4 linked regions of the Struthio camelus genome follow. The protein of the gene in region 3 interacts with the protein of the main gene of each other region in a biochemical or structural test. Links are inferred from orthologs where the notes say so. Each region holds a gene or a part of one and is shown on either strand. Other genes may lie near its edges.

What was found.
Region 1: the proteins of YWHAQ (region 3) and MARK2 form a complex in vitro, tested with the Homo sapiens proteins (2 studies listed by BioGRID, with this or other methods). The link is inferred for Struthio camelus from reciprocal best matches to the Homo sapiens genes YWHAQ and MARK2.
Region 2: the proteins of YWHAQ (region 3) and PRKD1 form a complex in vitro, tested with the Homo sapiens proteins (2 studies listed by BioGRID). The link is inferred for Struthio camelus from reciprocal best matches to the Homo sapiens genes YWHAQ and PRKD1.
Region 4: the proteins of YWHAQ (region 3) and CDC25B form a complex in vitro, tested with the Homo sapiens proteins (2 studies listed by BioGRID). The link is inferred for Struthio camelus from reciprocal best matches to the Homo sapiens genes YWHAQ and CDC25B.

What each region holds. Positions count from the first base shown.
Region 1 is NC_090976.1:1,145,985-1,153,118, reverse strand, and holds the start of MARK2 (serine/threonine-protein kinase MARK2), read left to right. Parts: upstream 1-4,121; 5' UTR 4,122-4,136; coding exon 4,137-4,496; intron 4,497-7,134. UniProt on the Homo sapiens protein: Serine/threonine-protein kinase. Involved in cell polarity and microtubule dynamics regulation. Phosphorylates CRTC2/TORC2, DCX, HDAC7, KIF13B, MAP2, MAP4 and RAB11FIP2. Phosphorylates the microtubule-associated protein MAPT/TAU.
Region 2 is NC_090946.1:52,818,233-52,825,994, forward strand, and holds the start of PRKD1 (serine/threonine-protein kinase D1), read right to left. Parts: upstream 3,011-7,762; 5' UTR 2,716-3,010; coding exon 2,518-2,715; intron 1-2,517.
Region 3 is NC_090944.1:24,949,896-24,957,892, reverse strand, and holds the start of YWHAQ (14-3-3 protein theta), read right to left. Parts: upstream 3,010-7,997; 5' UTR 2,695-3,009; intron 1,369-2,694; 5' UTR 1,279-1,368; coding exon 985-1,278; intron 1-984. UniProt on the Homo sapiens protein: Adapter protein implicated in the regulation of a large spectrum of both general and specialized signaling pathways. Binds to a large number of partners, usually by recognition of a phosphoserine or phosphothreonine motif.
Region 4 is NC_090945.1:87,092,485-87,100,387, forward strand, and holds the start of CDC25B (M-phase inducer phosphatase 2), read left to right. Parts: upstream 1-4,898; 5' UTR 4,899-4,913; coding exon 4,914-5,056; intron 5,057-5,447; coding exon 5,448-5,575; intron 5,576-6,367; coding exon 6,368-6,419; intron 6,420-7,903. UniProt on the Homo sapiens protein: Tyrosine protein phosphatase which functions as a dosage-dependent inducer of mitotic progression. Directly dephosphorylates CDK1 and stimulates its kinase activity.

The sequences.
Region 1 (7,134 bases), on a different chromosome or scaffold from region 3:
AGCGTGAGGCGGCGGCGGCGGCGGCCGGGCCGGGCGGACTCGCCGCCGGTTCCCCCCTTGTCCCCCCCCCTTTCTCCTCTCCCTTCCCCCTCCCCGGCCTCCCCCATGCCGGTGGCTTGGCCCCCCCCCGCCCCCTGAGCGCGGCCCGGGGCTCCCTTCTCCCTCCCGCCCCCCCCCCGCCCCGCTCCACACCGCCCTCCACGGCTTCCCCCTATCGCGATAGTCGCCGGGGGCGGGGGGGGCCGCCATGTCGAGCAGCGGCCGCAGCCCCCTGCCCACCGTCAACGAGAGGGACGCGGAGCAGGTAGGCCGGGGGCCGCGTCCCCTTGGGTGGTGCCCCCTCTCCGGGGGTTTGGGGGCGCGGCGGGCCCCGCTGGGGGGCTCGGGGACCCTCTTGGGGGGGGTAATCTCCGGGGGGGGCGGAGGGAGCCGGGGTCCCCCTGGTTGGGTGCCCTCCCCCGCCAGGGTGCGTTTGGGGGGCAGCTCGCCCTGTGCGCTGGGCGCCCCCCCCCCCAAGGGAAGGGGGCACGAGAGGGGTGCCAGCCCCCCACGTCGGGGACCCCCCTGGGGGCAGGATTTGGGGTGCAGACCACCCCTCCCCTGGTGCAAGGTGGGGTGTGTGGCATGTCCCCCTGGCTTGGGCCCCCCCCTTTTTGTGGCTGTAAGGATGGGGTGTGGGGGCGTGAGCCCCCCCCCAGCTCCGCTGGGGATGTGGGGGAGGGTTGTGGCCCTCCCAACCCAGTGGGGTATGTGGGGGTGGTGTCTCTCCCCCCCCGATTGGTGTGAGAGCCCCCTGCCGTGGGCTGACGAGGGGCTTGGGGGGGGGATTGAGGCCCTCCTGGAGCGGGGTGCGTGGGTGGCAGGACACCCACCCCTAGGGGTGGTGCCTGGTTTGTCCCCCCCCAAAAAAAAGTCTGGGGTAACCCCTTTGTGCTGAGGATGGGGGGGGCTCGGGGGTCTCCCTGGTCTGGGGTAGCCCCTCTGCTTTGGGGTGGGGGGCTTTGGGGTCACCCCTCCGGCTGGGGTGATCTGACTGTGTTGGGGGGGCTGGGGTGCCCCCAGGCTGGGGTGCCCCCTCTGCTGTGAGGTGCAGAGTTTCAGGTGTTCCCAAAACTGGGGTGACCCCCTACATTGAGGCTGGGGGGGTTTGGGATCCCCCCCCAGGTGGAGGCGACCCCTCTGCGTTGAGCCTGGGGGGCTTTGGGGGTCCCCAATACTGGCCTGAGCCCTCTGCGTCAAGCTGGGGGCTTTGGGCCCCCCCCGGGCTGGCGCGACCCCTCTGCGTTGAGCCTGGGGGGCTTTGGGGGTCCCCAATACTGGCCTGAGCCCTCTGCGTCAAGCTGGGGGCTTTGGGCCCCCCCCGGGCTGGCGCGACCCCTCTGCGTTGAGGCTGGGAGGGGTTTGGGGGTCCCCAAAACTGGGGAGACCCCCCTGCGTTGATACCGGGGGTGCGTTTCACCCCTTTTACTGGTTTGAGGGGTGCCTGCCTGGTGTCTGTCCGCGGTTTGGGGTGTTTCTCCTTGATAAATACGTTTTGGGGGACATCCTTGGTCTGTGGGTCCCCGTTTTCTGGCTCAGGGTGCCTGGGGGGGGGTGTCTGCGTAGCATCGTTCTGAGGCTCCTCCCTCACGGGAGGATTTTGGGGTCCCCTCATCCTTCCCCCGGCGTGCGGCAGCCCCCCGGTCGGCCGCCGTTTGGGGGCGGTTTGGCTGCTCCCCGCTGTTCTGCCGTGCCGGGTTCGGGGGCCGCGTCTGGGCCCAGGAGCCGGCGCCGCGCTCCCGCGACGGCAGGAGGGAGCGGGCGCATCCCGGCTCCCCGACGGGATCCAGAGGGACCCGTGGCGGGCGCAGACCAGGTACCGGCGCTCCCCCTCCGTCCGGTAACGCCGCTTCCTCGCCGTGGGGAAGGCGAGGGCCCGGCGTCGACGCCGCGAGGGACCCGACCCTTTTCCGCGTGTTTTATCGCTGCGCGGGAGACGGCGGTGGGAAAACCGACGTTGGCTGTTCGTCGGCCCGGGAACGTTGAGGGGGGGGAAAAACCCCTCCGCGCCGGGCGCTACAGCGTCTGCAGCGCCGCGCGGCCGGGCCAGGACGACCCTGCTCCGGCGTCGGACCTCGTCGGCAGAGCACGTTTGGAGGCGTTTCTTTTCCTGCTGGGGCGGGTTATATAATGGCGGCGGGTAATTATTCACGGCTTCGTTCCCGCGCTGTCGCTGTCGGGAGCGCGGAGGATCCGCCGAGGGGGCGGCTGGCTGCCGGGCCCCCGGCACCCAGGACGGCGCGGAGGGCGCAGCCGCGTTCCCAAATGGCTTCCGAGCCGGCTAAATGGCTCCTTTCCCCGCTCCCAGGACGGCGCGTAGAGACGCGTCGCGAGCCCGGCCGGGCCGGCGGCGGCGGCAGCGCTCCTGCGGGCAGCGACGTTTCTCTCTCCCTCTTCTTCCTCCTTTCGGAGACCTCGAAATCGGGGAGTCTTCCTCCGTTCCTGCAAAGCGCTCGCATCACATGGGTTTGATCTGGCGTTCTTATAAAAAAAAAAAAAAAAAACTTCAAAATAACTAAATTTGGCTGACATTTAAGCACGATTGATCTAAAGCTGTTTCATGATCTCTCTTCAGCTGCCTCGATTTTAAACTGCTGGAGGAGAAAAATAAGGCTTATGTTCCCCTCGTCCCCGCGCGGATGGCGAGAGCGGGGCTCTGCCTCTGCTGCCAACCAGCTCGCCGTTCCTCGAGAAATGCTCTTTTCCCTTCCCTTTCCCCTCTTCCCTCTGGTTTTTATTTATTCTTTTTCATTTTCCTCTTGCGAGTGGAATATTGTGGTGCATAATATGGAAAGACAAATGCAGGGCCGAATTCAGAGCCAAGATTTCTGTCATCTGCTTCCGTTAAACCCTTGTTTCGCCGATAATCCGGATTCCTGCCAAACCGCCGGCGTTCTCGCGGCGGCAGCGCGGAGAGGAGCCGCCGACACGGCTGGGCTCCTCGAGAGCGCGAGGAGCTCGCGCCGCCGTCGCCCTCTTTCTCCTCGCTGGTTCCTCGGGCTCCTTTTCCTTAAGGTGCGGATAAATCCCGGGCGGAGGTAGGAGCCTCATCCGGGCAGCGCGGTGAACTCGGCTCCGGTCTTTGGGATGCCGCCGGCGTCTGCCTTGAGCCGAAAAGCCGGCGGGGAGGAGGGGGCAGCCAGCGGCGCCGGGCTGAGCGCGAGAGCCCCGAGCGCTCAAGGTAGGCGCAGCCCCGCTGAGGTTAACAGATAAATTGCGAAACTTCCTGTTTTCTCTGGTTTATCTCGAAACGCCGCGGAGGAACCTCACGGGTGAGGGGCGTAGGCGCCGGGCGTCAAAGCCCTGCGGCCCTCGCGCCCTTCCGCTCCGGCCGGAAGCCGCTCGCGCCGCGCGGGAGCCCCGCTCGCTTGGCATCTCGTCGTCCCGCAGAAACGGGGCTCTCCCCGGCGCGTCCTCGGCTCTGTTTGGAGGCTCTCCGCAGAAAGTCGGGCCTCCGGCATGCGTCGCCCCACCGGGACCTCGGGCTCTTCTTTCGCGTTGTTGGAATCGGGATCTTTAGGCCCGATTTTAGGGCTTCGGCACGTTAACGCCGCAGCGGCGCGGCCCCGGCTCCCGCCCGGGGAAGCCCTTTTCCCTCCCCGCTGCCAGGAAAAGCCGTCGAAAGCCAGGTGAGGCGGCGCGCTGGCTTTGCCGGCCACGTGCATCCCCCCTCCCTGAGTCCGAACGCCACGGTTCGCCCGTGCGGGGAGGCACACGTGGATTTGCTTCCCCCCCCCCGGATTTCAGAGCTGCGAGCGGGAGGTGTTTCTCCCGCTTGGTGCCGGAGGGGAAGAAAATGCCGAGCCGGCGGCGAGCGCCTTCCTGGAAGAATGAGGCCACAAGGCCGCGTGGCTTCATCTACTGACCTAGTGCCGTCCCCGCCGGGAAGCGCCTTTCCCGCAGCGATCCCGGGCGGTTTGAGGCCGAACGGTGCGAGCCGGTCGCCGGGGGGGGGGGGGGCAGGGACGCGGGAGCCCTGCAGCCGCCGCCTTGGACAAGCAAGGCAGGTCCTGCCCGTCCCCGCCGGGAGCCGCCCGCGCGGCTTCAAATACGTCGGGGTTTTTTCGGGGAGGGTTCTCTTATTCCTGGCGTTTCGGATGATCGGACCGCCGGGGTGGCGGAGGGAGCTCCTGCCGGGCCGGGAGACGTGGTGGGGGGGAGCCCCGGGAGGCCGCCCGGATCGGGGTAGCGTTGGCCGAACCGGTCGAGCCGGTCTTGGGAACGGCTGGCTGGCGTTCCCGGGCCAGTCAGCACTTGGGAGAGTTCGGATCTCTCCCAGGCGCCTGGGGAACGTCCTCCTCCTCCTCCTCCTCTTCCTCCTCCGGAGCGGCGGCGCGGGGCAGGCACCGCCTCGCCCAGCTTGGCTCCCGCGGGGCCGACGGCCGGAGCCGCCGAGCCGGCAGGCAGACCGGGGTCGACTCAGCCGATCCGCCCGGGGCCGGCGAGCGCCGGAGCGCGTGAGTCCCCCTTCGCCGGCGCTTCCCGAGCCGGCGTCGCGGGCGGGGGGAGGCCGGTCGGGGCGAGGGGTGGCGGGCGGATCGCCTCCCGGGCGAGCCGCTTCCGCCGCGGCCCCTCCGGGGAGAGGGGGGTCCGGGAGCCTCCTGGGGCGTCGCTCGCTCGGAGCGATCTCCTCGGGATCGTTTCTGGCGGGGAGGGAGGAGTTGGGGCTCCGAATTGGTCCCGGGGGGCGGCCGCTCCGATGCCGGGCGGAAGGAGCGGTTCGGGCGCCGGGCGAAGCCTGCTCCGCCGAGGTACGAGCCGCGCAGGCGGGTGGGCGGCCGCGAGTTGCCCGTGCGGGGCCCAAATTGAAGGGGAAAACCCTCCCTAGCCGCCCGTGTCGGCGCCCCCCGTCGGCGGGGCTGGGCGGGTCTCCGTTGGCGTTGCTGAGGATTCCCTCCCCGTTTTCCGGCTTTCCGTAACCAAAACTCACAGGCAGGTATTTTTGGTTAAGGCGGGGCAGGTGGGTCGCGCCTGCTCGGCCGCCCGAAACGGCCACGGGGCGTTTACGAGGGGGAAAGGGCCGGTCGCTCCGGCGTTCCCAGGGAGAGCTCGCCTCCGCTGGGGCGGCGCGAAGGTCTCCCCGCTCCGCCGGCGCTCGCCTCCCTCCGCCTTTGAACTCGCCTCCTTCCCTCCGCGGCCGGGAGGGAGACGGACCGGCTCCCTCGGCGCCGGGCCAAGGATCGGGCCTGTTTTATCCGCCGGGAGACGGAGGTGAAAACGCCCGGCGCGATCGCAGCGCCGTCGGTGCTCTTCCGGCCCTCGGCGTGGCACCTCTAGGAGAGGGATCGGACCGGGAAATCTCGCCGCGCTTGGGAGCGCGCGCTGGCCGGAGGGCTTCCTCCGGCGCCCGTCTCTCCGTAGCTCAAGCCGTAGGAAGGCGCCCGAGCCGAGGACTTGACGAGACTGGAGGGTTGGGATGCGCCCGGATCTGCGGACCGTCCGCAGCGAAGGGGAGCGCGGCCCCTCGCGCTTCGGGGCCGGGAGCCGCACGAGGCCGCCCGCGCCCTTGGGGGCTGCCTCGGGTTTTGTTCCTTTTCCCCGAAATTCCCCGGGCGGGTTTCGGGGATGCGGGAACGGGGCTGGGGACGTCCCGAGTGACGTCCCGCCTGGGAGAGGCCGCGGGCCCCGCGTCCGAAACCCGAACCTCTCCCCGGGCCCGCCACCCTGCGCGGCGCTTTTCCGGCTGCGACGAAAATAGCCGCCGCTGAGGGGGAGCGCGGCGTTCCTGGGGCGCCGCTGCGGCCCCGGCGACGCGTTTCTCCTTCCCGGAGGCAGGTAGAGCTGTTCTGTTTGTGCAGCGGGTTTTTCCCCCCCCTCCTCCTTCCAGTAACTCCGTTTTTTCTGCAGCCGGAGTGGCTGTTCACGGTGGCAGAGATAATCTCAACAGCGTCTTTGTAACGGAGACTCCTCCTCGCCCTGCCTGGCACCAGCCGGGTGTCTGAAGAGCAACAGTCGTCTCAAGTACTTTTTCCCCCCCCCTTGTTCCCCTGAGCGACCGAAGCCCGGCAGATCCCCGCGGAGCCGCGGGACGGAGGCAGGAGCTCGGCCCCAGCCGCCGTGACTCCCCCGCCGAAACACGGGCAGCGGCGGCTTGGCGCGGGGCCGCTCCGGCTGCGCTCGCCCTTGGCTGCCGCCGGAGACGAGCCGGGTAACCCCTGCGCAGCGCCGGGATGCTCCGGGCGGCCCCCGAGGTTCCCCCTTTCCTCGGAGGCGGCACCGAGCGGGAGCCGGATGGGTCGGAGGCCGCGCTCGGGCGGCGCGGGAGTTGGCGGGGCTCGTCCGGAAGGAGGCCTGTTCGGCTGCGCTCCCTCTTTCGTCCCCTTTCCCTCCTGGAGAGGGAGGATGTGGGGAAACCACGTGGCTGGAAAGCCGCCGGCGTGCGGGGTCGGGGCGGTGGCGGCGGAGGGGACGGGGTGAGGGCGCCCCGGCGGCCGCGGAGGGACGAGGGCTGCCGGCAGGAATTATTCGAGCGTCGCGGGAGGCATTATTTGAGCCCGGCACCCTGCGCCGGGCGAGCCGCGGCCCGGAGTCGCGTTAAACCCCCGCGCCGGGGTGCCGGCGGGGTCTGCAGCGGCTGCAGAGAGGCTTTGGGCTGTCTTTTTCTTTCTTCTTGCAAGCGGGAGGTAGGAAGACGCGCGGGATCTGGCAGGGTCGTGATTTCCTCCGCCGCTCTCCCGAGCGGAGGTGGGTCCCTCCACGGGGCGGCGGATCGCTGTCGCAGCCCGACAGGGACGCCCCGGCCCGCTGCTCCGGGAGATCCCAGCCTCCCGGAGAACAGGCGGCGGCGGCGGCCCGTTATCGCTGCCACGGGGAGACGGGGCCCGAAAACCGCGGTGGCGGCAGCTCTGGGCTGGTGCGGGCTCGAGCCAGCGACGACCTCGGTACCTGCAGCGTCGGGCCGAGTCCAGGCGCTCCTTCCTCGCCCGCTGCTCCGGGTTGCCGCCCCCGCGGGCCGGGAGCGCTCGAATCTGGCCTGATTTGGGGGTGGGAGCCGCCGCGCGGGCGGGCGGGCGGCAGCGAGCGCCGGTTGGAAAAGCCTCGTCGCCTGGCAGAGGCTCGACGCGGGCCGCGATAAGGCCTCGGGGCGTCCGCGCC
Region 2 (7,762 bases), on a different chromosome or scaffold from region 3:
AGGTACCATCTACCCATTTCATCACTTCGAGGAAACTTGAAAATAATAAGTATTTTATCTAAAGATCACACTACAGTACATACTCCTTCGTAATTGACACAAGCAAACCAGTATTTTCATAATATCAAGGGTAAGCAATACTTTAAATCATTTCAGGAAAAGAGAAAAATATTAATCTATAAGATATGAAAAGAGTTACCTCATAATGGTCCTAGATACCTATGTACTTTTTTTTAAAATAAGGTCTCTGCCAATACATAGAGTAACTTTGTACATATACACAGTCCTATTACGTGTAGTGAAGTGATGCATGTTAGTGAAATTATATATACATACATACTTGCAGATTTAAGCTTAAAACAAAGTTTCTCAGGATTAATAACATACAAATTAATCTGCAGAATAGAGGGAGGTATAGGCCACCATCTGAAAAAAAGCCTATCTTTCTTTCCATTTTCCCTTTCCTTAAACCTCTTTCTTCCCAAAGGCAGTAATTTGGGCTGTGACAGTCTGTGACTAGAAGAGAGCTCCTCATTCAAGTATACTCTGTAGAAAAGCACCTAAAAGATTATGTCTTTCAAAAAAAGACAGTCTGTAAGCTACAACAAATTAAGCTGTTCAAATTTTTTATGTCAGTGCTTACTTAATCAAGTCTGACTCTTGGATGAGAAGCCAACACATTTATTTTTCTTTAGCCAACGCTACACTGTTAGGAAAATAGGAAATTGTTAGGAAATACAAAAGATTAGACTCAGGCACATTATAAACCCATGAAACGTATATGCTACTCAAGCACAAAAATATAAACAATGAATGCAACAATCTTAGCATATTTACATTACTGCTAATATAATAGCTGATAAACAGTTATATATATAAACTATACATAACCATTATAAACCATATATAGAAAGTTATATATAAACTTATAAACAACTTATATACCTATTAAAAGCATATATCTTGTGCATAACTTCTGTGTGAGCAAGCAACAAGTTTCGTCTGGGCTTTGAAAGCAAATACAGTAATGTTAAACTGCGGGCATGTCTTTCTTCAGAATTTAACTTAATAAAGCAGTTAACCCTTTCTTAAACTAAGAAAAATATAGAATTTTAAAAATGAAGCTGCATATTTCATACCATTTTGAAAACATGTCATTAGTTGTGAAAAAAGGGAAAGTTCACCCTCTGTAGTGAGGTTTAGATGACAGAGTAAAAACAAACCCAGAGCAAAACTACCAACTTAATTTTGGACTTTTTTTTTCCCCCTAAATCTTACCTCAGTAAAAAACAAGCAGTTAAAAAAAATTTCCCATTATAACTAACCTGAATATCTGGCAGTTTTACTTTTTAGCCCTTAAAAAAATCATTGTGATACTTCTACGTGGGTCTTTCAGACAACACACAGTAGTGCAGTAAAACTGTTAACATTCAACATGATTGTTGAGGCACAGAAACTCGAAAGGACAAAGAGTAGCGGCGTTGCAGGGCAGATCCAAGTGCAATGGGTTTTAGGGTGTTCCCCGAGTGGCGCGAGACTTCTGGCTAACTCTGTCCCGTGATGCTACAATTTCGGAGGAGCAGCAAGGTAAATGCCGGGCGCTGCACCCCGCGCCGCCCCCCGGCCGGGCCCGGCGGCCGCAGCACCAGGCGGTGCCTCCCGCCCCCCCTGCGCCGAGGCCACCTGCCGGCTCGCGGGGCTGCGGCCGCTTCCGCAGACCCCCCGCGGCCGCTGCGCGCCCCGCGGCCGGGCTCGCCCAGCCCCGCGGGGGGCTGCTGGCAGCGGCCGGCGGCGGAGCAGGAGGCGGGGGCGTTGCGGTGCGACTCCCCTCCCCCCCCCCCCAGCTCGCACAAGCCTCGGCGTTGCCCCCCGGGGGCCGCCCCCAGCTCCGCGCCCGGGGCGAGCGTCACGGCGGGGCGCGGGGGGCACCGGGCAGCCCGGCAAGGGGGAAAGGGTGCGGAGCGCCGCACGCCGCTGTGAATCCTGGGCTGTCGGGGCTGGATTTTCCTTGTTGGTGTTGTTGTTTTCTTTTTTTTTTTTAAGTGGAAAGTTTCCTCTCCCAGCAGAGGCTGGGACAACATATGAACTGCCCCAGGGCGCCGCGCTGCCATCGCAGCTGACAGGTTTCTACCCCCCCCCCGCCACCCCCCGCCTTCCGAAGCAGTAAAAAGCAGGCAGATAGATCCGGCTGGGGGTTGTTTTTAATAACAGCTATTAATACAGTAACTGCATCCCTTGCCAACAAAATAAAACCCAAAGTCTCCTGCCAGCATCCCGCACGGAGCCTCCTCGGCAGCGGGACCGGGCGGCGGGGCAGGGCAGGGGGAGAGGGCAGGGGGGCAGGCAGCAGAGGAGGGGAGCCACGGCAAAGCTGCGATCGGTCTCCGTAGCCCCGGAGCTGAGTCGCCAGGGAGAGGAAAGTTCACAGCCAAGAGCAGCGCCCGCGGGCAGAGGGGCTGCCGGAGCGGCGGGGGGGGGGGGGAGGGCACGGAGCTCAAACTGGGGATTTCTTCTTACCTTCTGGTCGACAATGGAGCAAGCCATTTCCCGGACGTGGGCAAGGCTGAGGTCGCCCGAGGAGTCCTGCAGCAGCAGCACCGGCTCGCGGCTCAGCCCGATCTGGAGGTGGAAGGCGACGCCGCCGCCGCCGCCGGGAGCAGCCCCCGCCGGCGGCGGCAGAGGGCTGGGCGGCCGGATCAGCGGAGGGGCGCTCATCGAAAACTTCCCGCCGGAGCCGCCGCGGGGGAGGCAGGGAGAGAGACGCGGGCACCGCGGTGAAAAGTTTGCGGCCGCCCCAGAGGCGCCGGGCGAGCTCCCCGCGAAGTTTCAGGGAAGTCCCGCCGAGCTCCTCCCGGGCGAAAATGGCGGGGGGGGGGCGAGGGGGAGGACCGGGGAGGATGCAGACAGGAAAAGGCGGCGAGAGACGCGCAGAGCGGTGAAGGCGGGGGGGGGGAGCCCGGCCCAGCGCCGGCGAGGTGCTGCCGCCGCTCCGGCTGTTGGCGCTGTGCGCGGCGCGGGGGCGGGCCGGGCCGCGCCCTCCGCCGAGGCCAGCCGGGCCGGGCCGTCTGCCGTGCCGTGCCGTGCCGCGCCGCTCCGCCACCACACGGCGGCCGCGTCCCCACGGGCGGCAGCGCTGAAATCGCCCCTTGCCGGCGGGTGCCCCCGCGCGAGGACGCCGCCGCCTCCACCCGCCCCATCGGCGCCCGCGGGACTGGCCGCCCGCGCCCCGGCCCCCCCCGCTCCCGCCCCGGTCACTAGGAGGGCACAGCCTGCCCGGAGCAGCGGCGCCCCCCCCCCCCCATTGCCCGTCACCCTCCGTTGTGTGAGACCTTCAAAGCCGCCTTCATCCCCGTTTCCCCGTCCCCTGCGCCCGCCCCGGCCGCAGCTGGTGGCAGGTGGAGGCAGAGCCTGAGGAAGCTGCGGATTTTCCCTCGCTTCGAGGCAGTGCGGTGGGCTCCTCAGGGCTGGGTGGCAGCAGCCGAGCCTGGGCGACGGTGGGGAGATTTGCGTGGGAGTGGGAGCTTCTGCCCATCCCCGGCTCCTTCTCCTCGACCGGCACCTCCTCCAGGAGCCCCCGTCAGGGCTATCTGCGGGAAGAGATGGGGGGAAAAACTTGCACCTGTATCTTCTGTAAGCAGCTTCCAGTTTCACATAATGGGCTGTGCTGAGAAGGAGCTCCCTGCCATCTAAAACCAGGATGAGTTATTCTTCCCAACTTTCAGGATCAGCGCAAGTCCCATCCATATGCACAAACAATGTGGTGGCAGGTGACATTTAATCAAAAAAAAATGCTAATCTCCACTTGGTAATCTGTCAAATGATTGGGGAAAAAGGAATTGTGAATACCTTAGATACCAAAGGAGAAACTCTTGAGTTTTTCATATGGCACCTGTAAGGATGGCAGTTGTAAATGTGTGTTTGTACGTAGAGGTTGATCCCACATTTACTTGGTTTTTTTACAAAGTACTTTTTTGACTAAATGTACAGTAACAATGTTATTTCTTTGCCATCATATGTTTTATTGGGTCACAATTTGCTGTGGCATGTTTATTTCACACCTGGGATTTGCCACCCTTATTGTCTATATAGTTTTGGACCCAGTTTATTCTTCAGCAAGTTTTCTTTTTAAACTGTTAATTTTAATCTGTGTCCTCTACAAAATACCAAGTCTGATGAAAATGTCAGCGTGCTAGATTGAGATGATAGTTAGTCCCACTTAGTAGCTTTTCTTATTACCTTAGGAGTCATAAGTATTTTCAACCACACCCTTTGGTTTTGCTGTTGAAAATCATACCTAGTGTTGCTGTTGTCTACACTGTTTCCTTAGGTATTAACGCTTTCAGTACTGTACCCCAGCTACACTGGTTACCATTGTGAGAGGCAGTTTCCTAACAGTTCTGCATGTACTGGATATTTTGGTGCTTGGATTTTTTGGTGCATGTATATTCATGCTCCCAGATCTAAAACTGCCCAGGCATTATAACTACTGCAGGCTTCTCACCATCCTGTGGCTCAGCCAGCTACTCTGTATAGCAGTGAGCATGGGAGGACTGTGAGATCCATCTGTGTGTGAATCTATAGCAGGAAGAACACGTGAGGTCAAAGTGCCATCCCTGAATGGCGCTCTCAAGTTCAAATACAAATACAAGGCCAGAGCCACCTCATGTAACTGGAAGAAAGTTTTTCTGGACATCGCAGTTTCAAGGCCATCCACTTCTCAGCTGTTGGAAGAAGCATACTAGAAGATCCTACAGCACTGCTTCACTGTCCAGGTGCTCCCTCAATACAGTGAAGTGTCACCAGCTACTTTCAGAGTGCCTCTTCCTTAGAGCTCATTGGGACAAAAGCAGATGTAGTTCTGATGGTAATGGGGCAGTGAGCTGTCCCCCTTTTCCTGCCCTTGCTGTATTTAATTATGGGATCACATAACTGAGCGTTTCACAACATGATTCACATGATGACTTCGGCTTTCAAGGGGAAGAGCAGAAAATAAGACGCAGCCAGGGCCTTAGTTACTGTGCAGAGTTACAGCTTTTCTGCTGCTCTAAAATAACTGGAGAGGAGATGTGGACAGAGTAGGCAAGTCACCAGCATCACAGCTAACATTCCCCAGCAAATTATTACACAGTAGCAAGGCTGACAGTGATACATCCTTGTTTTTCTTATCTATGTGAAATTTAATTATATAGCTCATAGGGTCATTATGCACCCACAGATCCACATACTCAATTGTGTGGACAGAGTTACAGGGCTATCTTCGCCAGGCAAGGTTATTGTATTTTCAAAAAGTTGTAGGTTGCTGCATTATTTGATAGGTGCATCTGACATGTTGAATGCATATTTGTAATCAAAATAGATATGGGCAGGCCTTCTTCAACATTGTGTCAGCAATGCTATTTGTGTCAAATGCTATTTATAAAAAAAAAGATTTCGTGAAATCAGATGATGTGATCCTGAATACAACCTGACCTGTTGTACTGACTGAAACATCCTCTATTTCATTATCTTTCCAGATGGGAGAATTATTGCTCTGATGTGAAGGAGGAGAAAAAACCATCTACCACAGTCTGTTCTCTTCCATGTGACCTGATACAATGTGCATGCCTGGTTGAGCCTTTCTGTGCATGCACAGTTGGTCCTTGGAAACCTCTAGAATTTTGGGTTTCACTGCACAGATTAGCTAAGCAGTACATGAACTCCCACAAGAATATACAGAAGTAAAATGAGTTTACCACACATGGCTGCACAGTTTATGCATCCAGGTACGCACAGGGGAAGGGCAGTCAGGAGACAGTGCCACTGTAAGATCAACTTATGAAGGCTTGTCCCAGCTACTCGCAAGGTACAGAGCCTTACCTGTTTGCAGCATATGCACATTAAACTGGACATGATGTCAGCATTTCTTGGAATGGGACTGCTTTTCTTGCACACGTGTATCACACAACCAGGTGCTTAATTCCAAGCTATGTTGCTGTAATATTATTTCTAACTACTCTGTATTACTGCAGCATGAAAGATGAATATTGTGCTTTATAGGTTCTCATCGACTGTATGCTTGACCTCCATCCGGTTCCACTTAGAGGCCTTTCTGAAGTTGTTATCTTTCTCCTTTTCTTTCAGCTTACTACACTGTATAGATGGAATTCTGTTCTATCCCCTCGGAATAAGAACCATTCCCTTCATGAAGGTCTTACTGCTAGATTTCTGCTCTTCTCCATCTGTGATGTAACTGGTGCTTTTGACCAGTCAGCTATCCATTTATCTTTCTGCTCTTTAGCACAAGTAATTATATGGTGCATATGTGCTAATTAAAAAAAATCTAAGAACAAACACCTGAAAGAGTAAACCAGGACATACCTAAAGAATGGAAAATATTCTATAAGGCAACTGCCTTGGACATAGCCAGACCGACAGACTGGTTAGTTTTTAGGTCAATGTAGCTGACCTAAAATTTAGTCTTGAGATGTTTCCATAGGGAGTAGAGCAAAGGTAATACTATGAGATGATTACTATTGGACTTGTGAGACAGATAGTGGAATATCACGCCCTGTTCTGGGATCAATATTTGAAAAATAGGTTACCTGATAGTATAGTGTATCTAGGCAAGGAGAAAAGAGCAAGTTTAAAGCAGAGAAAGGAGTAAGAAGAAACAATTTCTAGAAGCCAGACAGAAAGCGAGACCGGAAATACACCACAAATTTTAACTGTGAGAATGAGTTATGTTCTCAGTGGGCTCCAAAAAACCAGGCAGATTTTTTTTTACTTTGACAGCACACATGTACAGATGTAGAGAAAGTCATCTTCCTTCCTCCCCTGAAAGAAGTGCATCTTTTCTACCTAAGAAATAAGGCATTTTCTGTCTAGGAAGAAACTGAGTTAGCATGGACCCTTTGTTCCTTTTGTCAGCTCCATTTGTTTGCCTCTGCTGGACTCCATAGGCTGTTCCAAACAAAACAAGAGCCTACTGATGAAGAGGGAGTTCTTCAAGCCACTGCTGAAGATAACAACTGCAACTGCTTTTTATCCTTGAAAATTTACCTCCTTAGCCTCCAACAACAGATCTTATGTTAAAGTGGGCAAGGACACTGTTGCTGAATCAGACTGATTCCCATATTTGAATTCTACCACTACAATTTTTTTTTTTGTTTCCAAGCCTTCTCTCATCTCAGACGCTCCTGAACCACACAGCTTTAGGCTTAGTGCATGGATAAGGCATTCCACTGCCATTTTTTTAAACAGTCTGGCTTCTTGACATATCGACTTGTGTTCACACTGTAGTCCATTCTAAACTCCAGATCTCTTCCTGTTAAGTAATTATTTTGAAACCATTTGGGTATATCTGTAGTTGATTATTCCTGCATAAGCATACTACATTGCACAAATCTTTATAGAATCTCATCCTATTTTTCCAGACCTTTACACCAATTTGTTTAGATCATTTGAATTCTAATCACAAATGTTTCCACTGCACTTTCAGTCCATCTCCTTTCGGTATAATCCATAAATTTGATAGGAAAATTTGATAATAATCATTCAAGTCATTAGTAAAGAATCAAACAGAACTGGATGAAGGACAGACTCCTGTGGAATTCCATTCAATATGTCTTTTCATTTTGACACAACCATACTCTTTTGGATATTATTACACAATCAGTTTTATGTCCATTTTATACTATTTTCTTCCTAGCCTGGTTTGCTGTTTGCATACGAGAACTGCTTATAAGACTGTCAAAACCCTTGTCAGTCAAAATACATCACCCCT
Region 3 (7,997 bases):
TCAGGATTCATTTACCTCAGTAAATGTTTATTTCCTTGTAGACTTGCTTCTTCTTGTGTTTGCAATACCAGACACCAAAAATACATTTTTAACTGAGGTGTAATAAGCTACTAAAGATTACTTGCCACACAATTCTTAGCGCATTACACCTATCCAACTGCCTGCAGCCAGAACTCCCTGATCACGTAGAAGAAGGTGATGCACGTTCAGCCCCTGCCACAGCACAGTGTACTTTCACTGTTAATAGCACCTGGAATTCTGCTCCTTATAGCAGAGTAAATTCTGTATTACTGGGCTTCTTCACCTGCTGAGGTGTATTATGTCAGTCTTCAAACCATGGTCTTACCTTATTCTGTAACTACCGCAACTTCGTTGTAAAGATCCACTGAAAAGTCAATTTGAACATGACAAAGCCAATTTCTGCAGATCTTTATTTCTACGCTCACTGAAGATGATGTTTTACTTTATAAACTCACACTTTTACGTAAAAGGAAAGTTTTCAAGATGTCTTAAAGACCTCTGGAGAATTTGTTTCTTGCAAAGAAACACTAAGTGAAAGAAACACACACCCAGTTACTTTAAATGCTTTTAACAATGTACTAGGTCTCATCTGAAGAAAAAAATTCATGTATCATTTTGTTTTCCGCTGATCTTATGAACAGATAAGCTTACTAACCGCAGTGCAAACAGACATGAGACCAAATCCTCTGCGACTCTGCAATTACATGGAGTAACACTGTCTGTGGGTCTCAAATACCTTTGCACAGACATGCTCCTCAGCAGCGCAGACGATTTTCCTCCTTACGCTAACCCTCACAACAGTTGCGGAAGTTACTGCACTGACTTCCCCTACCACAGCATGATATTGTGCATGACGTTCCTCAGCCAAGTTCACAGTCTTACTCCTCAGGACAGCAGCATACATGAATACTGTTTCTCTCTCTCAAAGAGAAGAAAAGAGAGGGCAAAAGAAACTCCACTCACCAGCACAGTGGTGCAGATGGACCTGAGCTCAGATTCCACCTTCTCCCGATAGTCCTTGATAAGCTGCATCTTCTTGTCACTGGTGTCTGTCTTCTGCTCAATGCTAGAGATGACCCTCCAGGCAGAGCGCCGCCCACCCACTACGTTCTTGTAGGCCACAGAGAGCAGGTTGCGCTCCTCGTTGGAAAGCTCAGCACCTTGCTCGGTTACTGCCTTCATGCAGGTGGCCATATCATCATAGCGCTCAGCCTGCTCAGCCAGCTTGGCTTTCTGGATCAACTCGGTCTTATCCATGGTGGCTGGCAGAGGGGTGAGAGCAGTAGAGTAGCAAAAGCAGGAGAAGCTGGGGATGTCACACTGTCAAGAAGAGAACGCCCTGAAAACCTGCCAGAAAGAAGACAGTAACCATGACTCTGGGTTGAAGTGATACAGAACATGATCTTATGCTGCTCCTCATAACTAGGCCTGTAGCGAGTCTTGTATCCTCTTCCTCATCTCCAGGAGCGTTTCCTGGATTGAAGGACTGGCAGCATCCTGCTCCTCCATGCAGAGCTAGGGGGAGAGGCACCAGTCTCAAGGGCCCATCCCTAGGGAAATGGCGACCTAGAAACTGAACTGGGGAAGGCATACTCAGCTCTACCCAGAGGGAAGCAGCCTAAAGACCAAGTGCTGGAGACAGCTATCTTTTCAGAGCTGCCTTTTTGTCCTCACTCTGCTTCCCTTCCTTACCTCAAGTGAACAAATTAACACACTGCTTAGCAAGAACCTGGAGAAAGATATCTAGCCACCAGTAAGCCCTGCCCAAAGTCCATCCCCTGTACACCATCTGCCCTGCAGGTGAGCACTGAAAAAGGAGGGGGTATGCCAAAGCCATTACAAGAGATTGGAACCAGCAAGGAAAAAAAGAAATCCTCCTCCCCAGAAACAAACAAACAAACAAAAAAAAAACCCCAGCGATAAGTTTGCCCCTAGGAACCCAAGGAACGGTTTAAAAATAAACCGGCGAACAGCGAGGGAGGCCCGGGGCGCCAGGCCAGGTGCAGGACGGGAAGCGCGGCGAGGAGACCCGTCTCTCCTCGGGCTCCCGCGCTCCGCTCCGCTCGACGAGACCCGCGGGGCGGGCGAGGCCGAGGGAGCCGGGAGAGGCCCGGGCGCGGCGGGGCGGCCGGCCCCGGGCAGCTTCGCCTCCTGGCGGCGGGGCGCGGCGGGCGGCGACAGGGCGGGGGAGCGCCGCAGGGTCCGGGGCCTCCCCGCCTCCACCCGGCCGCGGCGGGAGCGGCGGCGACTCCGGCCCCGGGACGGCGGCCCCCAGCGCCGCGGGGGGCGCGGCGGCGGCTCCGCATTCCCGGGCGGGCGGGCGGGGAGCGCTGTGGCACGGCAGTGGGTGGGGTCTCGGCCCCGGCGAGGGCGGGGGCCCGGCGGCTCCACGCCGCGGCCGGCCGCGTCCCCAGGGACAGCGGGGGGGGGGTTAGGGGGGTGGCGAGGAGGTGGCGGGGCGAGAGGCGAAGGCGGCCGGAGGCTGGCCCCGCGGCGGCGGGGCGGAAAGAGGAAGCCGGCGGCCCCGCCGGGTGCGAAATGGCGGCGCTGGCTGGCGGCACCTCCCGCTCCCCGGGGCCGCCGAGGACTCCACGCCGCGCTCACAAAATGGAGGACGCGGCGGCGGTGGCGCGGAGCCCCCTCCCGCCGGCGGGCGCGCGGCGCCCCGCTCACCTGAGTCCGCGCGCTAGGCCGGGCCGGCTGGCGCCACCGGATCGGCTGCCTCGCTCGGGGCTGTGGCGGAGAGAAAGAGCCGCTCCCGTCTCAGGCAAGAGCCAGCGCTAAAGGGCGTTGGCACAGGCAAGCCTACCCGCTGCTCAACCCGCGCCCACGCGGCCAATCAGAGCGTCTTCTTCGCCCGAGGCCCCGCCCCTTCGCGCCCCGGCAGCCAATCGGAGCACAGCGCGCCGCCGCGGGGGCGAGCGCAGGCAGGGCACAAGCTCGGTTGGCCCGTGGGCTGCGGCTGGGGCCACGGGGTTTCCTCCAATTAGATCCAGGGTGAGATGACGTCACTGTCGCCATAGTGATGCTGCTACAACCCCCCCCTTCCCCCCCCCGCTGGCGTGCCCCCCTCCTCCCCCCAGCCGCACCACCTCCTCGCCCTGGCAGCCGGGGCTCGGCCGCGGCACGAGATAGCGCGGGGGCGCGGCCGGGGCGGCTCGTGCGGCGGCGGCGGCGGCGGCGGCGGCGGCGGCGGCGGCGGCGGGGGGGAGGGGGGCGGCCGTGGTGGCGCGAGGGGCCGCGGCGCGCGCCGCGGGGGGAGGGGAGGAAGCGTCCGGGCGCTGCCGGGTGGGAGGGGCGCGGCGGGGCGGGGGCTCTCTGCCAGGGGGCCGCCAGGCGGGGGCCTCCCCCCTTCCCCCGCGGCCGCGCGCCCTCCGCCTCCCGAAAAGGCCGCGGCTGCTCTTCCGCCTCCAGGTCGCTGCGGCCAGCGCTGGGCCCCCGCGGGGGCCGGGCCGGGCCGGCGGCGCCGCCGCTGACAGGGTGCGTGAGGGCCGCGGCGGGCGAGGGGCCCGCCGGCCCTGGGGAAGAGGTGCCGGAGACTGCGGTGCTGCTGGGGCGCAGACGTGGGCGCGGGGGTCGGCGATGGCGCCGGCTTCGGGAGATGGAGGAGCAGGAGGCTTTGGGACGGCTCTTTTGGGCGGTCGGCAGCAGCAGAAGCCGTTGACGGAGGCTGTTGGGCTCCCGGCGTTGGTGGGGCCGCGCTCGCCGCGTGCACTTGCGTGGCTAGGTGCGCGGTTTTCCCCGGGGCAAATGGACAGTCAGGGCTTGAGTTCTCCCTGACTGCAGGACACGGAGCCCGGTGTTGGGCTCTCACAGCAGAGGAATGAAGATAATGATAGGGTGAGAGTGGGGTGTCTCTGACAAAGGAAGTTATGCCCTTTCGGAGCCACTGGTCTAGGATGAGGTGTGTTTTCCTGAGGCCAGAGAGGAGGAAGGACCAATAAGGTCTGTCATACATTCCTCCCTGTTTCTCGACCTAATGGTAGAGTCTGGAGGAATTTCTTTTTGTCAGGAATAGTTAGTTGCTCTGGCCCTGGAGACGCTTATCCTGACATGCAGTATTCTCAATGATAGATTTCAGAAGCCGTTTATATGAAGCTATCATGACTGTGCTCTGCCCTTAGGGTCTGGGTGAGAGGAAAGTTGATTTTAGAGATGTAATATTCCTGTGGTCGTGAGGCCGTGGGCAGGGGAAGACAAGCATTTGGCACAAGCGACAGTCAATATATTTGCTTTTTTTCCTTTCATCTGGAGTTAATTCTCAAGAGGTCAGAGATACAATGGACAGAGGTTAGAATTTTAGGTTCGTGCTGTTACGTACTGAATAATAAAATGCTTTCCAGCCATGAATTAATAGATGTGAGGCAACTATTGCTGCTTGTCTTTTCGAAACGCTAATTGGATGGTCTTCTTCATGCTTTAGCATGATTTTTTTCTAGACTCATACTGCCTGAGTCTCAGAGGAAGTGGTAAAGAGATAGTGGGTTTGTGTTGTTTGCCACAACATTCAGCATACAAAATCCAGGAGTGGATCAGATACTGTCTGTCAGGCCTTAGGCTAGTTTGGGTTCACAAATATCTGTGCACTACAAAGTCTCTGTGTTGAAGTGACGAAATTTCTCACCTTTGATTTCAGCATCGCCAAATATAGTAATGTTCAGCAACTTCAGCATCCAGATGGGATGATGAATTCTCTGAATCAACCTCAGGATATTGTCTCAGCTTGTAAAGTTCTTGATCTTTGTTTGGACTAGGACTGAGATTATATATGTGGAAATTAGGTCTATGCTGTGAAGAAACCATTATTTGTCCTTGCCATGTAAGTTTGGGCATTTATTCTATTATAGCAAAGGACCTATTGATAATACTCTGTTCAAAGTTAATGAAATTCTGTCATAAAGCCTTATGGAAATATATAACTTATCCCAGAAATTACTGTCCTGGCAACTTGCTACAATTTTACATTGCCTTTTTATTCTTCCTTGTCAATAGGATATTTTCACTTAAGTGCCTAATGATCGCCCCCATTCACATATGAAGTGAAAGTGGTAATAAAAAATCACTAAATCAAAACTGACCAGTGGCAGCACAGAACCTTTCTTGATTAATGTCACGTCTCCATCAGAAATAAAACAATGTCACCTACAAAGCATGGATAAGTAGATTTTATTGGAGCAAATCTGACCTAATGAAAGGCAAAGCTGATCTAATCAAGACTACTTCCTTCACTGTCCCTCCTCAAAAATTAGGAAAATATTAGAATTACAGTCTGCCATACAATTTAGTTCACACCTCTCTCCCACCCGTTGTAAGCTTGCATTAAGAGATGCAGGACCATCATAAAAAAACTGGGAAATGCTGGGCATAGCAAGTCATAGGCACAGAGGACTTGATATCAGCTGTGCAATGAGTCCAGACTTACCTGCACGTATCGAGTCTGCTTTATATGTGCAGGTCAGCTGCATGGCCTGTGTCTGGCTTCAGACCTATTAGGTGTTGTGGCTGCTGTCTAGGTTTGTTCAGATTTGGGTCCTGTGGATTTATATGCCTTAAGACTGCATCGTGATATGGTCTTTAATGACCTAGCCATAAGCTAGTTTCCCCAGAGGAACCCTCTCTCACAGTAGGGATGATATTCTTGGGAGAGCTTTTATGAGAGGAGGCTAGAAGAATTTCCTGCCTTTAGTTTAGCAATATAAAAGCTAAGAGGGAGATTTTACGTTGTCTTAAAAGGAGTACAATAAATAACAAGGTGGGAGAATTGTGATTTAAACTGAAGACAAATGTGTATAAACTGTCAATTAAGGAATTTAGGCTTAGAATTAGAAGATCTTGGCTTCTCAGAGCAATGGAGTTATGGAACGGCTTTCTTTTATTGAGGGCAAGAAGCCCACCTGCTCTGAAGGCGGACAGCTTATAAGAAGGATTTTGTGATGTAGTCACCTGAGATAGCAGGAGACTAAACTGCAGAAGCTTTACAATTCTGTGTTTCTAGTTAATATGGTTTTTAATGCTTATTGCATGTATATTTTAATGTACAGTTTCCTGCACAGCATTACATTTCATTGAATCTAAAATTATTAATTTCCTTTAAGGCTTTTCAGGAGTGCTATCATCCTGCTAAACATTAATGACTTTATTTCTGTAACAGGGTTATGAAATGGATGGTATTATCCTATCTTACATTCAGGAAATGGAAAATATCAGCACTTCCAGATACATATATGGAGAAATGGAAGACCTTCAATTCCAGAGTAGAAAACACTTTATAATATTCAATGTATACTGAAAGTTCACATCCCACTGACTTCAGGTGTACCTGCTGATATTCAGCATCTCTGCGTCTCTGCCACAGATTACTCAAATGAGATGGGAGGGACATGGGAAATGTTGCTCACATTTGAGAGTAAAATCTGAGCCTTTGACTGACACTTTCTCTTCACTCATACCTACAGTAGTTACTGTTAGATTCCGCTTCTCTCTTGCGGTGAAACAGGTATCACATTATTGCACGTAACAGTATTTCTCTGCATCCTTTCCTTCTGTATCATGTGGTACTGAAGAGTGGAAAGAGCTCTGGGGAGTAGAATCAAGCTTACTTTATCTGTGTTTCTACCCCCCCCCACACACACACCCACATAGATTGCCTTTCCTCCTTTTGGCCTCTGGGTGAGGGAGGATGCTGGCTAAACGCAGAACAGTTCCCTTCATGCTGTTAGCATAAAAAGTAGAGGTATGTTAGTACTAGTCCTAAGCAGGTCCTGTGAACCTCATGTGAAGTGACTCCAAAGCCTGGGAGAGAGCCACAGAGGATTCCTGCTCAGCAAGACTGTGCACAGTTCTAGCTAGACACAAAGCCTTCGCAGATCCTCTCTTACTTTCTTCCCTGGCTCTGTCCCAACAATAGTGAGCTGCAAGTGGGAGGACAGGGGAGCCAGATGGAGCCAAATGCAATCCCTGAAAGGTGAGGTGTACCTTTTTTAAGGAAAGGAAACAAATAGCCTTTTAATGGCTTTTTCTCAGTTAAATGCAACTTGCTCTGCCAAAACATAATAAACGGCGCCCTCATGCATGAACAAACAGGAGTGGCAAAAGTCACTGAGACTGTCAAGTAAATTTTATCCTCCTGAAGCTTTTTCTCTCAGGAGGTAACAGTAGGGCCCATAGAATTAAGATAAATGCAGCTAATTTCCTTTTAATGATGATTTGATTATTCTTTCATTACAAGTAACTAGTTCCCTTTTCTAATTATATGGCTTGCTTTTATCCAAGAAAAATTACCCAGTTTATGGGATTGTACCATTAAGGTCCCGCATCCATGAACAATTCGTTGTGGTGCTATGAAATTGCTAGTTTCATAAAATGTCTATATTGCAAAAGATATGTATAGATTTTTGTCTCTTCTGCTATTTTGCAATGGCAGTGACAACTGAGAAAGCAGGTAGGAGGAATGGGTGTGCAAGACATAAAAATGAAATGCATAGGGCAGAAAGCATAAACCCTACACGTTTAGCATGGCTTTAAGGGAGTGAGTAGTATTGGAGGGAAGGGGGCACTGGGGAGCAAGACAGAAATGTATAAAGGTGCACTGGTACTTCATCAGTTGGTTGTTTAGTAAATTCAGAGAAAGCTCTTTCTGTTATGCCTTTGATCTCTGCACTTCTTCCTTTTCATCTCCATCTTCTTCCCCTGCAGCTGCCTTATGAATGCACGTTATCCAAAGGGGAGATGTGACATCAGTCAACCAGATTACACAAGGTGGGGGGGTGATTGGTGGCAGGCAGTGTAGTTAACAGTATGTTTAAGGTATGAAGAAGGGCTCAAGGCCCACAGGCAGGTTGCTGCGGGCCACTATGATTAGCTTGGTTTCCTAGTCTTGCGTAGGTGTGACGGCCCAGGGGTGTAAGCAGGCAAAGCTGGTGCAGAGAGGTAATATCTCTTACTAGATCAGCTGATAGAGTTGGAAAAAAATAGAC
Region 4 (7,903 bases), on a different chromosome or scaffold from region 3:
CATGGGGCTGACCCCAGCATCCGGGGGGCTGACCCCAGCTCCGACCCCAGCACCCGGGGGGCTCCCACCCCAGCATCCGGGGGGCTGACCCCAGCTCCGACCCTAGCATCCGTGGGGCTGACCTCAACACCCGGGGGGCTGACCCCAGCTCCAACCCCAGCATCCGTGGGGCTGACCCCAGCATCCGGGGGGCTGACCCCAGCTTCGACCCCAGCATCCGGGGGGCTGACCCCAGCATCCATGGGGCTGACCCCAGCATCCGGGGGGCTGACCCCAGCTCTGACCCCAGCATCCATGGGGCTGACCCCAGCATCCGGGGGGCTGGCCCCAGCATCCGTGGGGCTGACCCCAGCTTCGACCCCAGCATCCGGGGGGCTGGCCCCAGCATCCGTGGGGCTGACCCCAGCTTCGACCCCAGCATCCGTGGGGCTGACCCCAGCATCCGGGGGGCTGACCCCAGCTTCGACCCCAGCATCCATGGGGCTGACCCCAGCATCCGGGGGGCTGACCCCAGCTTCGACCCCAGCATCCGTGGGGTTGACCCCAGCATCCATGGGGCTGACCCCAGCATCCGTGGGGCTGACCCCAGCTTCGACCCCAGCATCCGTGGGGTTGACCCCAGCATCCATGGGGCTGACCCCGGCATGCAGGGGGGCTGACCCCAGCTTCGACCCCAGCATCCGTGGGGTTGACCCCAGCATCCATGGGGCTGACCCCAGCATGCAGGGGGGCTGACCCTGGCGCCAATCCCAGCATCCGGGGGGCTCCGACCCCAGCATCCGTGGGGCTGTCCCCAGCTCTGACCCCAGCATCTGTGGGGCCAGCTCCAGCATCTGTGGGGCTGACCCCAACCGTGCACCCCCCTTGCCCCCCCAGCCCTGCACCCCTCCCACTCTGCTCCCTGCCGCGCACCCCCTAACTGCGCACCCCCCACGCCTCCCCCCAGCCACGTGCTCCTCCCCACTGCAGCCCCCGGCTGAGCGCTCCCCCTTCGGGTACCGCCCTGGCTGCGTACCCCGCTCAGGCCCTACACCCAGAGTGCTGTGCACCCCCCCCAGCCCTGCACCCCGCTGCATGCACCCCCAGCCAGCACCCCGCATGCACCCCCAGTCATACTCCCCCAGCCCCCCCATGCACCCCCAGCTCTGCACCCCCCAGGCTAGTCCCCCTATGCACCCCTAGTCATGCCCCCCGGCTGTGCACCCCCAGGCCAGTCCCCATGCCCCCCCAGTCATGCCCCCCCAGCCCCCCCATGCACCCCCAGCTCTGCATCCCCCAGGCTAGCCCCCCTATGCACCCCTAGTCATGCCCCCCGGCTGTGCACCCCCAGGCCAGTCCCCATGCCCCCCCAGTCATGCCCCCCCAGCCCCCCCATGCACCCCCAGCTCTGCATCCCCCAGGCTAGCCCCCCTATGCACACCCAGTCATGCCCCCCGGCTGTGCACCCCCAGGCCAGTCCCCATGCCCCCCCAGTCATGCCCCCCACCTCCCCATGCACCCCCAGCCCTGCACCCCGCTGCATGCACCCCCAGCCAGCACCCCCAGTCATGCCCCCCCAGCCCCTCCATGCACCCCCAGCTCTGCATCCCCCAGGCTAGCCCCCCTATGCACCCCAGTCATGCCCCCCAGCTGTGCACCCCCAGGCCAGTCCCCATGCCCCCCCAGTCATGCCCCGCCAGCCCCCCCATGCACCCCCAGCTCTGCATCCCCCAGGCTAGCCCCCCTATGCACACCCAGTCATGCCCCCCGGCTGTGCACCCCCAGGCCAGTCCCCATGCCCCCCCAGTCATGCCCCCCACCTCCCCATGCACCCCCAGCCCTGCACCCCGCTGCATGCACCCCCAGCCAGCACCCCCAGTCATGCCCCGCCAGCCCCCCCATGCACCCCCAGCTCTGCATCCCCCAGGCTAGCCCCCCTATGCACACCCAGTCATGCCCCCCAGCTGTGCACCCCCAGGCCAGTCCCCATGCACCCCCAGTCATGCCCCCCCAGCCCCCCCATGCACCCCCAGCTCTGCACCCCCCAGGCTAGCCCCCCTATGCACACCCAGTCATGCCCCCCAGCTGTGCACCCCCAGGCCAGTCCCCATGCACCCCCAGTCATGCCCCCCCAGCCCCCCCATGCACCCCCAGCTCTGCATCCCCCAGGCTAGCCCCCCTATGCACACCCAGTCATGCCCCCCAGCTGTGCACCCCCAGGCCAGTCCCCATGCACCCCCAGTCATGCCCCGCCAGCCCCCTCATGCACCCCCAGCTCTGCATCCCCCAGGCTAGCCCCCCTATGCACCCCAGTCATGCCCCCCAGCTGTGCACCCCCAGGCCAGTCCCCATGCCCCCCCAGTCATGCCCCCCCAGCCCCCCCATGCACCCCCAGCTCTGCATCCCCCAGGCTAGCCCCCCTATGCACCCCAGTCATGCCCCCCAGCTGTGCACCCCCAGGCCAGTCCCCATGCACCCCCAGTCATGCCCCCGCATGCCAGCCCCCATGCACCCCCCAGTCATGACCCCCCAGCCCCCTATGCACCCCCAGCTGTGCACCCCCCAGGCCAGCCCCCCCATTCCCCCCCAGCCCCTCATGCTCCCCAGTCATGCACCCCCAGGCCAGCCCCCTATGTCCCCCGACCTTCCCCCCCAGCTCCCCATGCCCCCTCAGCTCTGCACCCCTAGTCTAGCCCCCCCATGCCCCCCAGCTGTGCACCCCTAGCTCCCCATGCCCCCCAGCCCAGCCCCCCATGTCCCCGGCCATGCCCCCCGACCCCCCATGCCCCTCCAGCCCCCCCATGCCCCCAGCCGTGCTCCTCTAGCCACCATGCCCCCCTAGCTCCCAGTCCAGCCCCCCCAGCCGTTCCCCTCTGGCCGAGCCCCTGCAGCCCCCCCAGCCGTGCACCCCCAGCCCCCCCGGCCGTGCACCCCCAGTCCAGGCCCCCCAGGCTCCCAGCTGTCCTCCCCTAGCCCCCCAGCCCCCCAGCCGTGCACCCCCAGTCCAGGCCCCCCAGGCTCCCAGCTGTCCTCCCCTAGCCCCCCAGCCCCCCCAGCTCCGCACCCCCAGTCCAGGCCCCCCCTTGCTCCCAGCTGTGCTCCCCTTGCCCCCCAGCCGTGCACCCCCAGCCCCCCCAGCCATGCACCCCCAGTCCAGACCCCCATGCCCCCAGCTGTGCACCCCTAGCCCCCCATGCCCCCCAAGCTGGACACCCCCAGCCATGCCCATGCTCCCCCAGCTCTGCACCCCCAGCCGTGCTCCTGCAGTCCAGGCCCCCCATGCCCCCAGCCATCCTCCCCTAGCCCCCCAGCCCTCCAGCCATGCCCCCCCAGCCCCCCATGCCCCCCCAGCTGTGCATCCCCAGTCCAGTCCAGTCCCCCCATGCCCCCAGCTGTGCACCCCTAGCCCCCCATGCCCCCCAAGCTGGACACCCCCAGCCATGCCCATGCTCCCCCAGCTCTGCACCCCCAGCCGTGCTCCTGCAGTCCAGGCCCCCCATGCCCCCAGCCATCCTCCCCTAGCCCCCCAGCCCTCCAGCCATGCCCCCCCAGCCCCCCATGCCCCCCCAGCTGTGCATCCCCAGTCCAGTCCAGTCCCCCCATGCCCCCAGCTGTCCTCCCCTAGCCTCCCCATGCCCCCCTGGACGTGCCCCTCAGCCTCGGCCCCCCCCGTCCCCCCAGCCGTGCCCCCTCGGCCCCCCATGCCCCCCCAGCCGTGCACCCCCAGTCCAACCCCCACTGCCCCCCCCAGCCGTGAACCCCCAGGCCAGCCCCCCCATGCCCCCCCAGCCGTGCACCTCCAGTCCAACCCCCCCGGCCCCCCCAGCTGTGCAACCCCAGTCCAACCCCCCCTGCCCCCCAGCCATGCACCTCCAGCCCCCCATGCCCCCCCAGCCGTCCACCCCCAGTCCAACCCCCCATGCCCCCGCAGCCGTGCACCCCCAGCCCCATGCCCCCCCAGCCGTCCTCCCCTAGCCCCCCCCGCGCCCCCAGCCGTGCACCCCCAGTCCAACCCCCCCGGGCCCCCAGCTGTGCAACCCCAGTCCAACCCCCCCTGCCCCCCAGCCGTGCACCCCCAGCCCCCCATGCCCCCCCAGCCGTCTTCCCCTAGCCCCCCCGCTCCCCCAGCCGTGCACCCCCAGCCCCCCATGCCCCCCCAGCCGTCCTCCCCTAGCCCCCCCGCTCCCCCAGCCGTGCACCCCCAGCCCCCCATGCCCCCCAGCCGTGCACCCCCAGCCGTCCTCCCCTAGCCCCCCCGCTCCCCCAGCCGTGCACCCCCAGCCCCCCATGCCCCCCAGCCGTGCACCCCCAGCCCCATGCCCCCCCAGCCGTCCTCCCCTAGCCCCCCCGCTCCCCCAGCCGTGCACCCCCAGCCCCCCATGCCCCCCCAGCCGTCCTCCCCTAGCCCCCCCGCTCCCCCAGCCGTCCTCCCCCAGTCCAACCCCCGATGCCCCCCAGCCGTGCACCCCTAGCCCCCCCGCTCCTCCAGCCGTGCACCCCCAGTCCAACCCCCCATGCCCCCCAGCCGCGCACCCCCAGCCGTCCTCCCCTAGCCCCCCCGCTCCCCCAGCCGTGCACCCCCAGTCCAACCCCCCCGGCCTCCCCCCCCGGCCCCGGGCCCCCGCCGGCCAGCCGGCTGCCCCCGCCCCGCGCGGGGCCGGGCTTTGGGGCCGGGCGCCATTGGCTGCCGCCTCGCCGCCTCCCTTGTTATTTTTCGAATATAAATAGGGGCGGCGGCGGCGGCGGCCCCGCTGCTCCCCGCCCGGGAGCCCCGCGCCGCTGCCGCCCGCCGGGCCGCGGGTTCGCGCCCCGCCGCCCCCCATGCCGCCGCCCCGCCGCCGCCGCTGCTGCTGAGCCCGGCCTCCGCCGCAAGCCCCGCTGCTTTTATTTTTTTTTTTTAATTTTTAATTTTTTTTGCACCCCCCCCCCCCGGCATGGCCGCGCCGGGCCCCGGGCGCAGCCCCCGCCGGCCCTGCGGGCTGCCCGGGCTGGCGGCGCTGCTGGCCCCGGAGCCGGCCGGCATGTCGCCGGTGACCACGCTGGCCCTGGACATGGACAACCTCACGGGCCTGGGCAGGTGAGTGTGTGGCCGTCGGGGGGGGGGGCTGTCGGGGCTGTTCCCCCCCCCATCCCCTGAGCCTGGCTGAGTGGCAGCGGTGCTTTCCCATGTTGGGTGAAGGAGGGGTGCTGAGCCCTGAGGCCCCGGTGAGGGCCACAGCTCTTCTGAGCCGGCTCTGCCCTTGAGCCCTCATCTGCTCCCACCACCACCCACGATCTCGGCTCCCATCAGGAAAGCCCATGGCATCCCTGTGGATGTGGGCTCGCTCCTGCCCTCCATCTGGGGTTCTTGAGCAATTCTGGTCTGCTCGGGATAAAGCAGCACGGTGGGGAAATGGGGCAGAGCTCCAGAGCCGTAAGGGATGTGTGTGTCCCCCCCTGAGCTGCCACATCCTCTCCCCTTCCCGCAGCCACTGTGACACCCCCAAGAGAAGGATTCTGGGCATGTCCTTCCAGAGCGACTGGTCCAGGCTGTCGCAGGACTCGGTGGCCTCGGACTCGTCCCAGGACTCCGTCTCCTCCGAGTCCTCGGATGCGGGTGAGTGCCGGACCCCCCGTCCCGTGGCAGGGCTGGGACCCTGGCTCTCGCTCCCCGAAAGCTGGGGCTGCCTGGGGGATGCTGCACCGTGGGGCGCAGGATGCGGGTGCTGCCTCTACCCGGCTCCCCGTTAGCTCGGGGGGGGGTGGGCAGGGGCTTTCGAGGAGGCCCGGGGGCCGCGGAGCACGTGGGAGCCCCTCGGAGGAAGGGCTGCCTGCAGCTCCCTGGCTCCGGCCTCGGCTCTGAGTCACTCCTGAATTTTAAACAGGCCCGCGCTGCTGACGGAGGCCCGGCCTCTGCAGTTCCTGTTTCGGAAACTTCCTCTTGAGAGACTCCTTTTGGTTTTGTCCTCTTCCCTTCTGGGAAGAGCGTGCGAAAGCCCTTCCCGGTGCCTGGGCTGCTGGCTCTGGGCCTGGGTCTGCGGGAGGCTCTGGTTCGCATGCGGGTGCTGCGCTGTTCCCCGGGGTGCCCTGCCTGGGCTGGCAGGATCCTGCTTAACGTGGGGTCCCTGGTTGCAGCTGGGGTGGGGGAGGCGGCCCAGCATGGGGGTGATGCTGGGGCGGCCCGGCCGGGTGCCGTTCCCGGGATCGGCCCCATCCTGCTGTACGGGGGGGGCCTTGGCTTCCCGCAAAGCCCCCGGCGCCCTGATGAGCCGGTGACGGCACCCAGCAGGTCGCAGCGCGCGGGGGCTGAGCGATGCTCTCGCCCTGCCTCTCCGCCGAACGAGGGGAAGGCGCCCGCCTTGCACCCCGCGCTCCTCCGGCCGCTCATCTCGGCCCCTTATTCCCGCAGGAGTGGGGTTGGATTCCCCGACGCAGGAGGACCCCGAGGCGCTTGAAGACGTGTAAGTGTCTCTGGGGCTGTTCGCGAACCCGGCCGAAAGCGGCTCCCCACCCCGGGCTTCCTGCCTCACCCTCCCCTCTCACGCTATCTGCCCTCCCGGCCGTGGCACCCTCCGCCCCACCCCGAGGCGGCTGCCAGTCCCCGCAGCCGGGCTGCTTCCTGCTGCAGCCCGACCTGCCTGCGGTGCAGGTTGAACCAGGCTCTGGCCAGGTTTTCGGTTGTGGCACGGCTCAGCTTCCTTGCTGCAGCTGGGGCCGGCTGCGGATGCTGCTGGGGGCAACTGGGAGTCATGAGGGGCCAGTGGCCATGGGCCGTGGCAGAGGGGACACGGGTGGCTGGGATGCACAGAGCAGTGAGGAAGGTTAAGGCAGTGGTGATGCCCAGCAAGCGCTGTCTAAGATTTCATCAGCTTCGTGCAGGAGCATGTCTCAAACTGTGCCCTGCTTCCCCCCACCCGCACCCACCCACCTACTTATCACCTGCAGCTCCGTTTCCTGCAGGTTGAGAAACCGCCCGGTGCTGGGGACAGCGGGGACATGCCGATCCCTTGCACAATGCTGGCACCATAAACCTGGGTGCGGGCAGCGCTGGTGCAAACCCAGAGCTGCTGCGGCATCCACGCAGCAGCGCCCGGGGCGCGGGAGAGCGGGGCCGTGGCAGGTTGCGCGGGGGTCAGACCCAGAGCCAAGTGCTCAGCAGTGCTGTCTGGGGGTGCTGGGGGGCTCCTGCTGCCTGCCCCCCCCCCCCGCCAGCCCCTGCGATCGCTGCACCCGCGGGGCCGCCGCCACCTCCCCTTCCCCCTTGCACCTGCTCTGGCTGTTTGCAAAGGCTTTTCCCAACAGATGTTCCCTGGGAGAATGAGTAACTGGGGGCAGATGGCCGTGGCGGGGACGCGGTGGTGGCTTGGGGGGGGCCAGCCGGCATTCCTGTGCTCCCACAGCAGCTGGCCAGCGCTGTCCCAGGGCGCCGAGGCTGCACCCGCGGCCCCGGGGGGGCTCCGGCGTGGGGCACCGGCTCCTCCAGCCCCGGCACGCTGCTCCGGCGCTGCTGCCGGGACCATATGGCTGCCGAGCGGCTGCATCCCCCCCCCGCAGCTGCGTCCTTCCCCCTCCCTGTGCTGCTGATTTACATACAGGTGGAGAGCAGGGGCCGGCGGGCTGCTGCGGCCCCTCTGCTCTCGCGCCGGCTTTGTCTCGGCGCTCCAGCTCAGAGCTGGGTTGGTGGGGGGCTGCGGGACCCCCCCCCCCCAGCAGGGTGCAGCCCCCTCCGGATGCATCCTGCCCGGGCTGTGGCTTGAGCCACCTGCACCCTGATGGGGCCCCCGTTTGCTGGGGGCAGAGGAGTGAGGGCAGAGTGCTGGCCCTAGTGGGGTGACCTCAGGGGTCCCCCCCATCCCAGCCTGCTGGTTGGGGGTGCAGACCCCTCTCCCATGTGCATGGCAGTGGGTGTTGGGAGAGGCTGCAGGGCACCTCGCTGTCACTCCTC